3 linked regions of the Macaca fascicularis genome follow. The protein of the gene in region 1 interacts with the protein of each later gene in a pairwise test. Links are inferred from orthologs where the notes say so. Each region holds a gene or a part of one and is shown in the gene's direction. Other genes may lie near its edges. The genes, in order: HOMEZ, SNRPB2 and MAD2L1BP.

Region 1 (3,654 bases):
TCATTGCACCTATGCATAGCACACCAGCCTGGGCAACATAACGAGACCTTGTCTCTAAAAAAAAAATAGTGGCTGGGCGCGGTGGCTCATGCCTGTAATCCCAGCACTTTAGGAGGCCAAGGCAGGTGAATCACCTGAGGTCAGGAGTTCGAGACCAGCCTGGCCAACAGAGCATTAGATAGGAGTTCTAAATTTCTCTTCAAAGAATCAATATATCAGTATGTTCAATTCTCTGCCTTCTACTTTTAAACTTAACTTCCTTGTAAAGCAACCTTTTTCGATCACCTGTTCCACCCTGACCCATTCTGATTGCCTGCTGCACCCTAACTCATTTCGATTACCTGCTCCACCCTAACTCATTTCGATTACCTGCTCCACCCTGACTCATTCCGATTACCTGCCCCATCCTGACTCATTCTGATTACCTGCTCCACCCTGCCTCATTCCGATTACCTGCTCCACCCTGACTCATTCTCCACCCTGACTCATTCTCCACCCTGACTCATTCCGATTTCCTGCTCTGCCATAACCAAACCACTCACCCAGTCACTCTCTTTAAATTAGCCAATCGGAATTAGTTTAGTCTGTGCGGTCTAACCCTAGCCAATAGGGGAATGACAGCAGCAGGGGCCACATGTGTCAGGGGTAAGAACCCCTTCTCCTCCCTTGTCCAGGTGTGTGCTCACCATTACTCCATCTGTGAGGGCGCACCCTTCTATAGAAGTAAATTGCCCTGCTGAGAAGAAAAAAAAAAAGAAAATTTTATATTCGATTGCTATTTCTTTTGTGGCACCGAAACCTTATTTATAACAATAGTGAAACCTCGTCTCTACTAAAAATACAAAAATTAGCTGGGCATCATGGTGCACGCTTGTAATTCCAGCTACTCGGGAGGCTGAGGCAGGAGAATTGCTTGAACTCAGGAGGTGGAGGTTGCAATGAGCCAAGATCGCGCCACTGCACACCAGCCTGGGTGACAAAAGACTCTGTCTCAAAAAAAAAAAAAAAAAAAAAAAAGTTATTAACAGTTCTGGCCAGGGGCCGTGGCTCAGGCCTGTAATCCCAGCACTTTGGGAGGCTGAGGCCAGTGGATCACTTGAGGTCAGGAGTTCGAGACCATCCTGGTTAACATGGTGAAACCTCATCTCTACTAAAAATACAAAATGTAATAGGGCATGGTGGCGCACACCTGTAGTCCCAGCTACTCGGGAAGTTGAGGCACAAGAATCACTTGAACCCAGGAGGCAGAGGCTGCAGTGAGCTGAGATCATGTCACTGCACTCCAGTCTAGGCAACAGAGCGAGACCCTCCCTGCTCAAAAAAACAAAACAAAATAAAACAAAAAAAAAACAGTTCTCAGGGCCAGGTGCAGTGGCTCACTCCAGTAATCTCAGCACTTTGGGAGGCTGAGGTGGGAGGATCACTTGAGGCTAGGAGTTTGAGACCAGCCTAGGCAACATAGTGAGACCCTGTCTACAAAAAATTTTAAGATTAGCCAGATATGGCTGCATATACCTGTAGTCCTAGCTACTTGGGAGGCTGAGGTGGGAGGATTGCTTGAGCCTAAGAGTTCAAAGCTGCAATGAGCCATGATCACGCCACCACACTCCAGCCTATGCAACAGAGTGAGACCCTGTCTCTTGAAAAAACAAAAACAAAAATGTACACACACACACAAACAAGTTGAAATTATTGCTCCTCTTGTTTTTGTGGTTGAGTCTTCACTGTGTGATTCTTGTTCCATGAATTTAGAAGGTGAGAGTTGGTGGATAGCTTCTAGAAGTGGGTTTGAATAGGAAAGATGAAGGCTGTATCAGAGCTATGATGGTGCCACTGCACTCCAGCCTGGGTGGCCTGGGTGACAGAGCAATATTATCTCTTAAAAAAAAAACAAAACCCCACCAGCTGGCTGTGGTGACTCATACCTGTAATCCTAGCACTTTGGGAGGCCAGAGGCAGGTGGATCACGAGGTCAGGAGTTCAAGACCAGCCTGGCCAAGATGGTGAAACCCCATCTCTACTAAAAATACAAAAAGTAGCCAGGCGTGGTGGTGGGCACCTGTAATCCCAGCTACTCGGAAGGCTGAGGCAGAGAATTGCTTGAACCCGGGAGTGGAGGTTGCAGTGAGCCAAGATCGTGCCACTGCACTCCAGCCTGGCAACAGAGCGAGACTCAGTCTCAAACACACACACACACACACACACACACAAACACACTAAAAAAAAACTGTATCAGGATCAGTTTTCCTTCTTAACCTCTAAAGACAGATTTTTTTTTTTTTTTTTTTTTTTTTTTTTGAGACGGAGTCTTACCCTGTGACCCAGGCTGGAGTGCAATGGCACTGATCTCGGCTTACTGCAACCTCCGCCTCCTGGATTCAGATGATTCTCCTGCCTCAGCCTCCTGAGTAGCTGGGATTACAGGCACTCACCGCCATGCCCAGCTAATTTTTGTATTTTTAGTAGAGACGGGGTTTCACCATGTTGGGCAGGATGGTCTCGATCTCCTGACCTTGTGATCCTCCCGCCTTGGCCTCCCAAAGTGCTGGGATTACAGGCATAAGCCACCGTACCCGGCCTTTTTTTGTTTGTTTTAGATAGGGTCTCACTCTATCACCCAGGCTGGAGTGCAGTGGTGCAAGCATAGCTCACTGCAGCCTCGACCTCCCAGGCTCAAGCAGTCCTCCTGCCTCAGCCTCCCAAGTTGTTGGGACTACAGGCACGAACCACCATGCCCAGCTGATTTTTAAATTTTTTGTAGTCTCACCATGTTGCCCAAGCTGGTATCAAACCCCTGGGCTCAAGCAATCCCTCTCACCTAGGCCTCCTGAAGTGCTGGGATTACAGGTATGAGCCACCATGACTGGCTTTAAAGACAGATTTTTTTCTTGGAACAACACTCACCAGTCATGTGACTTGGGGTAATTTAACATCTATGGACTTTAGTCCACAGAAAATCAGAATTAAAGCAGGGTCTGATGACTTGTTTATGAAAATTAAATAAGAAACTGTTGAAGCACTTAAAAAGCAATACAACATGATGCAAATAGAAACTTAATTGTTTTGGTGTCCAGCAGTTAGTTTGGTAGAAATTGAGCAATGTGTCAGAAGAGGAGACCCAGTGATTGAGCTGTTTCTTTTCTTATTACAGCTATCTCTGAAGGGCACAAATCAGAAAGCACCATGCCTCCTAATAAAGAGGCCAGCGGTCTCAGTAGTTCACCAGCGGGGCTCATCTGCCTCCCTCCAATCTCTGAGGAGCTACAGCTTGTGTGGACCCAAGCAGCCCAGACCAGTGAGCTAGACAGCAATGAACACCTGCTAAAAACCTTCAGCTACTTTCCCTATCCCAGCCTAGCAGACATTGCCCTTCTCTGCCTACGTTATGGGTTGCAGATGGAGAAAGTCAAGACTTGGTTTATGGCCCAGCGCCTCCGCTGTGGTATTAGCTGGTCATCTGAAGAAATAGAAGAAACTCGAGCCCGAGTAGTCTACCGTCGGGACCAACTCCATTTCAAATCCCTTCTCTCTTTTACTCATCATGCAGGACGGCCCCCAGAGGAGGTGCCTCCTCCTCCAATGCCAGCTCCAGAACAAGTTGGTATTGGAATAGGTCCTCCGTCTCTTAGCAAGCCCACCCAGACGAAAGGATTG
Region 2 (3,754 bases), on another chromosome or scaffold:
ATTTATTTATTTATTTATTTATTTCAGAGATGAGATCTCACTGTGTTGCCCAGGATGATTTCAAACTCCTGGCCTCAACCAGTCCTCCTATCTCAGCCTCCGCAAATGCTGGGATTACAGGTGTGAGCTACTACACTCAGCCATTTCTTGTAGTATTAGATCTATATAATAAAAGGATGTTTTTCTGTGATCCCTTAACATTTTCTACACTCATCTGCATGTTCAAAGCATATTTGTTTACTGTTGCCTAGTTTTCCATGTCATTCATTCATTTATCCAATACATATTAATTATCAGTCACTATTCTCATTACTAAGGGTACTTGAGTGAACAGAGCAGACAAAATCCCCACCCTTAAGAAGCTTATATTATTTTCAAGTTGTTGCAACTTTAGGTGTTTTTTAAAAAATAAAAATTCCCAGCTGATAAAACTAACTTATTTGACAAGCTACCTGCCTCACCAATATAACCAAGTTATAGCCAGAACTCAGAAATAACATTTTTGAGCCTCACCAATATAACCAAGTTATAGCCAGAATTCAGAAATAACATTTTTGAGCATTTATTTTGTGTCTGGTAATGTGCCAACCACTTTACATTTATTTTAGCTCATTTAATGCCTACAACAACTAGAAGGAGATACTATTAGGATCCCTATTTTACAGACGAAAAGAGTGAAGATCAGAGAGATTAGTTAAGCAGAGGGTACAAGATTAGGTTCCACTTGACTCTTAACAACCATTTCATATTCCAGGTGATGCTTTACAGACATCTGATGAATGGATGAATGAATGAAAGCATGGGAATTTTTTTGGGAATTCCCATTCAGCTTGGCACAAATACTAACTCGTTAGACTACCCTAGAAAAATCTAGACTTTTTGTGGGAAGAAAAGAGTGGGAAGGGTGGTAGGGAATTATTTTTTCGAGTGAGTTGAGGCAGATGATCTTACAGATGATTGGGTTCTACTCAGCATGGTTGCCTTATCTGGTGAGAGATGAGAATTGGGCAGACACCAGTTCTGTTTGCCCTGGGCCCTCAAACTGGGTAGCCTCTGAGATTGAAGTTCATCAGCAGAGTGTTGGAGAACAGTTACTGCAGAGCCCCAGGAATCAGAGGAGACTTGGAGGCCGGAGGAACCGGCTATCCTAAAGGTGATTTTAAACCGGGGCAGCCAGAGCCCAAAGAAGGGCGAAACCAGGACTAACTGCCCCGTAGCATGAGAGGCAGAGCCTGTAAAATTACATAGGATTTGTAAAGGTGGAAGGCACTCTTGCGCGGGGCAAAGCTTCGCAAGGTCGTGGTAAGGGAAATGATTCACTCTTCTTCCCTATTCCCTCGCAGCATTGTCCCCACAAACCCCGTCCCTTTCCCCATTTCCATTTCCGGACTCTTCTCCTGCCCGCAGGGCATACGCACGCGCAAAGAGATTACCTACGGGCCGCCAGAGACCAGGAAGCATCGATCTGCTCTGCGCTCGGCTTGTAGACTTGTGGGCGCTCGATTGAGGAGCGTGGCAACGTTACTTCCGGTGCCTGGCTCCGTTTCCTGCTTTTGGTTCTTACGGGAGACTGCGTAGGCCTTAGGTGGGTTCGTGCACCTTTTACCTCGCTGTTTCGGTTTTCCTGGCTCCTCGGCCCTTCTCTCCCCTGTTGCAGCTGGGAGCGGACGAAGCGCGAAGCTGGGGTGGGGACGCGTTTGGCCCGGATTTGGATCTCGGAGTACCCGAGTAGGCTGGGGGCGAGGAAGAGATGGGAGACTGACTCAGGGGCCGGGCATCGCGTGGCAGCTCCCTCGGACTTCGTTAGGGGGCCTCGGGCGAAGGTGCTTGTGTCTGGAGAGGCGGGAGGCTTGCGCTTACGAAGTAAAGGATAATGTCCTTCTGCTTGTGCGAGGCGCTGACAGTTCACTGCGCTTTCAGGTGTCTTCCAGCGGTTTCCTTTTGGTAGTGGCGGGTAATTCAGGGTGCCCCTGTAACAGTCCAGCCCACGATCAAACCTCGCATGAAACCCCGCAAGAGCCTCCCCTTTGTCCCCCTACCTTCAGTTTGACCTCTGCCTCAGTCACTTCCCTTTCGTCGTCTCCTTTGTGACCCTTGCCGCTTCTCCAGATTTCGATTTAGGGGGTCCCAAGGCTTGGAGAAGCGTTATGTTTTACCTGTTACCTGCACAAGTGCAGCCCCTGCTTGTAGGCTCTTCCCTTGTCAATCATCCAATGCTATTCACGTACAGTGGATGCTCCGTAAATATTTGTGAGATAAAGGAATATGTGGGGCACACAAGGAAATCAAGCAGCTTCACAGTTTGCAAGTAAAAACCACGTTAAAAAAATGCAATAGTGTGGTGGACGAGGAAGAGAAGTGTAGAGGAGAAAGCAAGGGCTGAATTTCCAGGCTTGATGCTTATTAGCTGTGTGACCTTAGGCACGTTCCTTAACTGGTAATAGCTGTTAATAATAGCTACTTTAAGTGCTTACCGTTGATGCAAAACTGTGCTAGAACTCATTTAGTCTTCTGAGCTCGGTTGGGTAGGTTCTGTTACCATTCTCATTTTACTGATGAGGACCTGACAGATTAAGGAACTTCCCTCAGGCAAACAGCTAATAAGAAGCATAAATAGGATTTGAATTCACATATGGTTGGTACTAGAATCTGAGTTTAACGGTCATGCCACACTGCTGTCATTGAGCTCCCTTCTTTCAAGTCGGTTAGAGGTAACCTTGGAGTCCAGACAGCTTGGTGATACTGTATACAAATTAAGTAATAGGTATGGAAGGACTTTGTAAGTGCACCCAAGAAGTAGTTGGCAAACTCCATTAATGTCTAACCTTATGATTTTCACTGGATGTACATTTGCTACTTGGTCATTTTTCTTCAAATCTACATTTTAAATTATTGAGGAGGTGGAAAGAAAATATCACTTGTCATAAGTGAAAAGTAAGTGTGAAAATAAATGTGTTGAATTAAATGATGTTACTAAAATCTGGCTAGGTATTGGTGCTCCAAGTTTTGAGCATGAGAAACTCTTCTCCTTTTGTATGAAAAGGAGGGCTAGTAGGTGCTGGAGGTACACTAAAGGCTTCAGCCAAACTCACATCATCTAACAATTGGGATTGAAAGAGAAGTGAAAGGTTAATAATTCGTGTGTTGTGTCCTTATGCCACAGTCCAGTATAATTTACTCCTTCCTTTTTATAACAGATTTTTTACTGTCTCCTTCTGAAGAATTTAACACAAACATGGATATCAGACCAAATCATACAATTTATATCAACAATATGAATGACAAAATTAAAAAGGAAGGTAAGTGCTTTTAAAAATACTTGTTCACTACTAAAATGTGTTTATTTACTACTGTCTTAAAAATTGTATTGCCTCAAAACCTCTTACCTCGTCGTCTTAGTGCCTGAAATAATGGTTTATCCCATTACCTATAGGGATTTGAAGACTTTTAAAAAACAAAAATAGGTAGGAATTGACAGTGTGTACAGTCTGTTTCTACTCATAGATATAATGGTTTCATCTGACTTATAAAATTACATATAGCCAATGGGAATAGTATATGTTTTTATAAACATTAAATATATATAACTATAAATAAGTGAATGGTGGGGAGGCAACTCAATGCAGTATCATTTTATGAAGACTTTTGTCATTATCTTATTACCAATGACTTGTTTCTTTTCTAATTTGGACAGAATTGAAGAGATCCCTGTATGCCCTGTTTTCTCAATTCGGTCATGTGGTGGACATTGTGG
Region 3 (2,756 bases), on another chromosome or scaffold:
TTTTTTTCTTTTTTTTTGAGACAGAGTCTTGCTCTGTCGCCCAGGCTGGAGTACAGTGGCGTAATCTCGGCTTACTGCAAGCTCCGACTCCCGGGTTCATGCTATTCTCCTGCCTCAGCCTCCCAAGTAGGTGGGACTACAGGCACCCGCCACCACGCTCAGCTAATTTTTTTTTTTTTTTTGAGACGGAGTCTCGCACTGTCGCCCAGGCTGGAGTGCAGTGGCGCCATCTCGGCTCACTGTAAGCTCCACCTCCTGGGTTCACGCCATTCTCCTGCCTCAGCCTCCCGAGTAGCTGGGACTAGAGGCGCCCGCCACCACGCCCGGCTAATTTTTTGTATTTTCAGTAGAGACGGGGTTTCACCGTGTTAGCCAGGATGGTCTCGATCTCCTGACTTTGTGATCTGCCTGTCTCGGCCTCCCAAAGTGCTGGGATTACAGGCATGAGCCACCGTGCCCGGCAAGGCTAATTTTGTGTGTTTTTAGTAGAGACAGGGTTTCACTGTGTTAGCCAGGATGGTCTTGATCTCCTGACCTCATGATCCACCTGCCTCGGCCTCTCAGTGCTGGGATTGTAGGCATGAGCCACTGCGCTCGGCCAACTCTTCATCCTCTTTCTGTCTTCCAAAACTTTGTGTTTGCATTTGACTAGTGTTGTGTAGTCTCCAGTTCTTTGCCCTTGGGAGTTTTCTTTCTCGGTCTTTCCTCTTCTTTCGTTCATTTGTTTCTTAATTTCTTTTCTCTCATTTTGTAGTATTTCAGGTGGAAGCGCAAATAAGCATTGTTCAGTTTACTATGTTTAAGTGGAAGAACAAGTTCAGAGTCATGTTTATTAGACCAAATAATCCTTATTCCTGTTATCACTCCCTGTATAGCAAAAATTTGTTGTCACTTTGTCATACTACCAAATCTCTATTTTAGTTGTTTATATCTGGATATTCTCCACCTTCAGAACACTGTGTTTGCTGTTCTATATGTGGGAGAATTATGGTTTTGTACAAATAATATATTTTCCTTTTCAGTATAATGCCCTCTGATAAAACACAGTGTTGTGGCTGTGGCGGTTCATTGAGCTAGAAATTCAGTCCTGTAAGTCTATGTACACATCCCAGCAGGGTTCTTTTCAAAGGGCATTAGCTTCCCCCTGCCTTGTTCTTCTCTCCCGCCATTCTTTGTCCTCACAGGCAGAGGAGATGCTGAAGAAGAAACCTCGGGCCACCACTGAGGTGAGCAGCAGGAAATGCCAACAAGCTGTGGCAGAACTGGAGAGTGTCCTCAGCCACCTGGAGGACTTCTTTGCACGGACACTAGTACCACGAGTGCTGATTCTCCTTGGGGGCAATTCCCTAAGCCCCAAGGAGTTCTATGAACTCGATTTGTCTCTGCTGGCCCCCTACAGCGTGGACCAGAGCCTGAGCACAGCAGCTTGTTTGCGCCGTCTCTTCCGAGCCATATTCATGGCTGATGCCTTTAGTGAGCTTCAGGCTCCTCCTCTCATGGGCACCATCATCATGGCACAGGGACACCGCGACTGTGGAGAAGATTGGTTTCAACCCAAGCTCAACTATCGAGTGCCCAGCCGGGGCCATAAACTGACTGTGACCCTGTCATGTGGCAGACCTTCCATCCGAACCACGGCTTGGGAAGACTACATTTGGTTCCAGGCACCAGTGACACTTAAAGGCTTCCGCGAGTGAATGAGTGCTTCTTAATTATAAAAACACAATGGCTGAATTATCTTTCTTCATGTGGCACTGAATTACCCATCTAGTTTGGAGCTAGAGTTTCTTCCTGGTGAGAGACGAAGCAACTCTCCTTCTGGTTGTCTGCCTCCCCTCCTCAGGTTTCCTGATGGGCTGATGGCATGTGGCGGTGACTGTAATCATTGCTGAACAACATCTCTTTGAATCAAAGGTTGATTTTCCCAGAGGGTGCTGGGTCAGGTATTTCTGTTAGGGGTTGTAAAGCAAAGATGGGTCCATAGACAGAAACTCCATGAAGGTGGCCCTTTCTGCTCCTTGCTGTGTCCTTTCAGAATTTTTCCCAGGAACATAATGTGGATGTGACTTATGAATTTAAATATAAAATAAATAGATTCTTATTATATTTTCCTGAAATTCTTTTGACTTAAAATAACTTGTCAGGTTTTAGGCTATTTTGTCTTTCTCCTTGGCCTCTTCTGCTTCAGGGCGTCTCAAAAATTTATTATATTTTTCTTTTTTGAGATGGAGTCTTGCTCTATCGCCCAGGCTGGAGTGCAGTGGCATAATCTTGGCTCACTGCAACTTCCGCCTCCCAGGTTCAAGGAATTCTCCTGCCTTAGCCTTCGAGTAGCTGAGATTGCAGGTGCCCACCACCACACCCAGATAATTTTTGTATTTTTAGCAGAGATGGGGTTTCACCATATTGGCCAGGCTGGTCTCAAACTCCTGACCTCAAGTGATCCACCTGCCTTGGCCTCCCAAAGTGCTGGGATTACAGGTGTGGGCCACTGTGCCCAGCCTTAGGATTTTTTAATAATGATTTTTTCTCTTCTTCAGCCCCAGGCTAATCTAGGAAGTTAAGTGACTTGGCCAAGTGCATATGTACTTTGATAACACAGTTAGGACTAGAGTCCTCATTAGCTATCTTTTAGCCAATGTGCTTTTCTTATCACATACAGATTTTTGTGATGCTTAAATTCTGTATCCCCCAAAGCAGAGGTCATCTTTATGTGGGAAGATTGTGGTAAAGAACTTAGCTTACCAGGCCACTGA

What was found.
Region 2: the proteins of HOMEZ (region 1) and SNRPB2 interact in binary tests that used the Homo sapiens proteins (3 or more experiments, as listed by UniProt). The two-hybrid records come from large-scale screens. The link is inferred for Macaca fascicularis from reciprocal best matches to the Homo sapiens genes HOMEZ and SNRPB2.
Region 3: the proteins of HOMEZ (region 1) and MAD2L1BP interact in binary tests that used the Homo sapiens proteins (3 or more experiments, as listed by UniProt). The two-hybrid records come from large-scale screens. The link is inferred for Macaca fascicularis from reciprocal best matches to the Homo sapiens genes HOMEZ and MAD2L1BP.

Annotation. Positions count from the first base shown.
Region 1 is NC_088381.1:91,047,272-91,050,925, reverse strand, and holds part of HOMEZ (homeobox and leucine zipper protein Homez), read left to right. Parts: intron 1-3,151; coding exon 3,152-3,654. UniProt on the Homo sapiens protein: May function as a transcriptional regulator.
Region 2 is NC_088384.1:70,554,891-70,558,644, reverse strand, and holds the start of SNRPB2 (U2 small nuclear ribonucleoprotein B''), read left to right. Parts: upstream 1-1,549; 5' UTR 1,550-1,728; exon of another isoform or gene 1,729-1,920; intron 1,921-3,197; 5' UTR 3,198-3,235; coding exon 3,236-3,299; intron 3,300-3,694; coding exon 3,695-3,754. UniProt on the Homo sapiens protein: Involved in pre-mRNA splicing as component of the spliceosome. Associated with sn-RNP U2, where it contributes to the binding of stem loop IV of U2 snRNA.
Region 3 is NC_088378.1:127,883,366-127,886,121, reverse strand, and holds the end of MAD2L1BP (MAD2L1-binding protein), read left to right. Parts: intron 1-1,022; exon of another isoform or gene 1,023-1,097; coding exon of another isoform or gene 1,098-1,184; coding exon 1,185-1,697; 3' UTR 1,698-2,106; downstream 2,107-2,756. UniProt on the Homo sapiens protein: May function to silence the spindle checkpoint and allow mitosis to proceed through anaphase by binding MAD2L1 after it has become dissociated from the MAD2L1-CDC20 complex.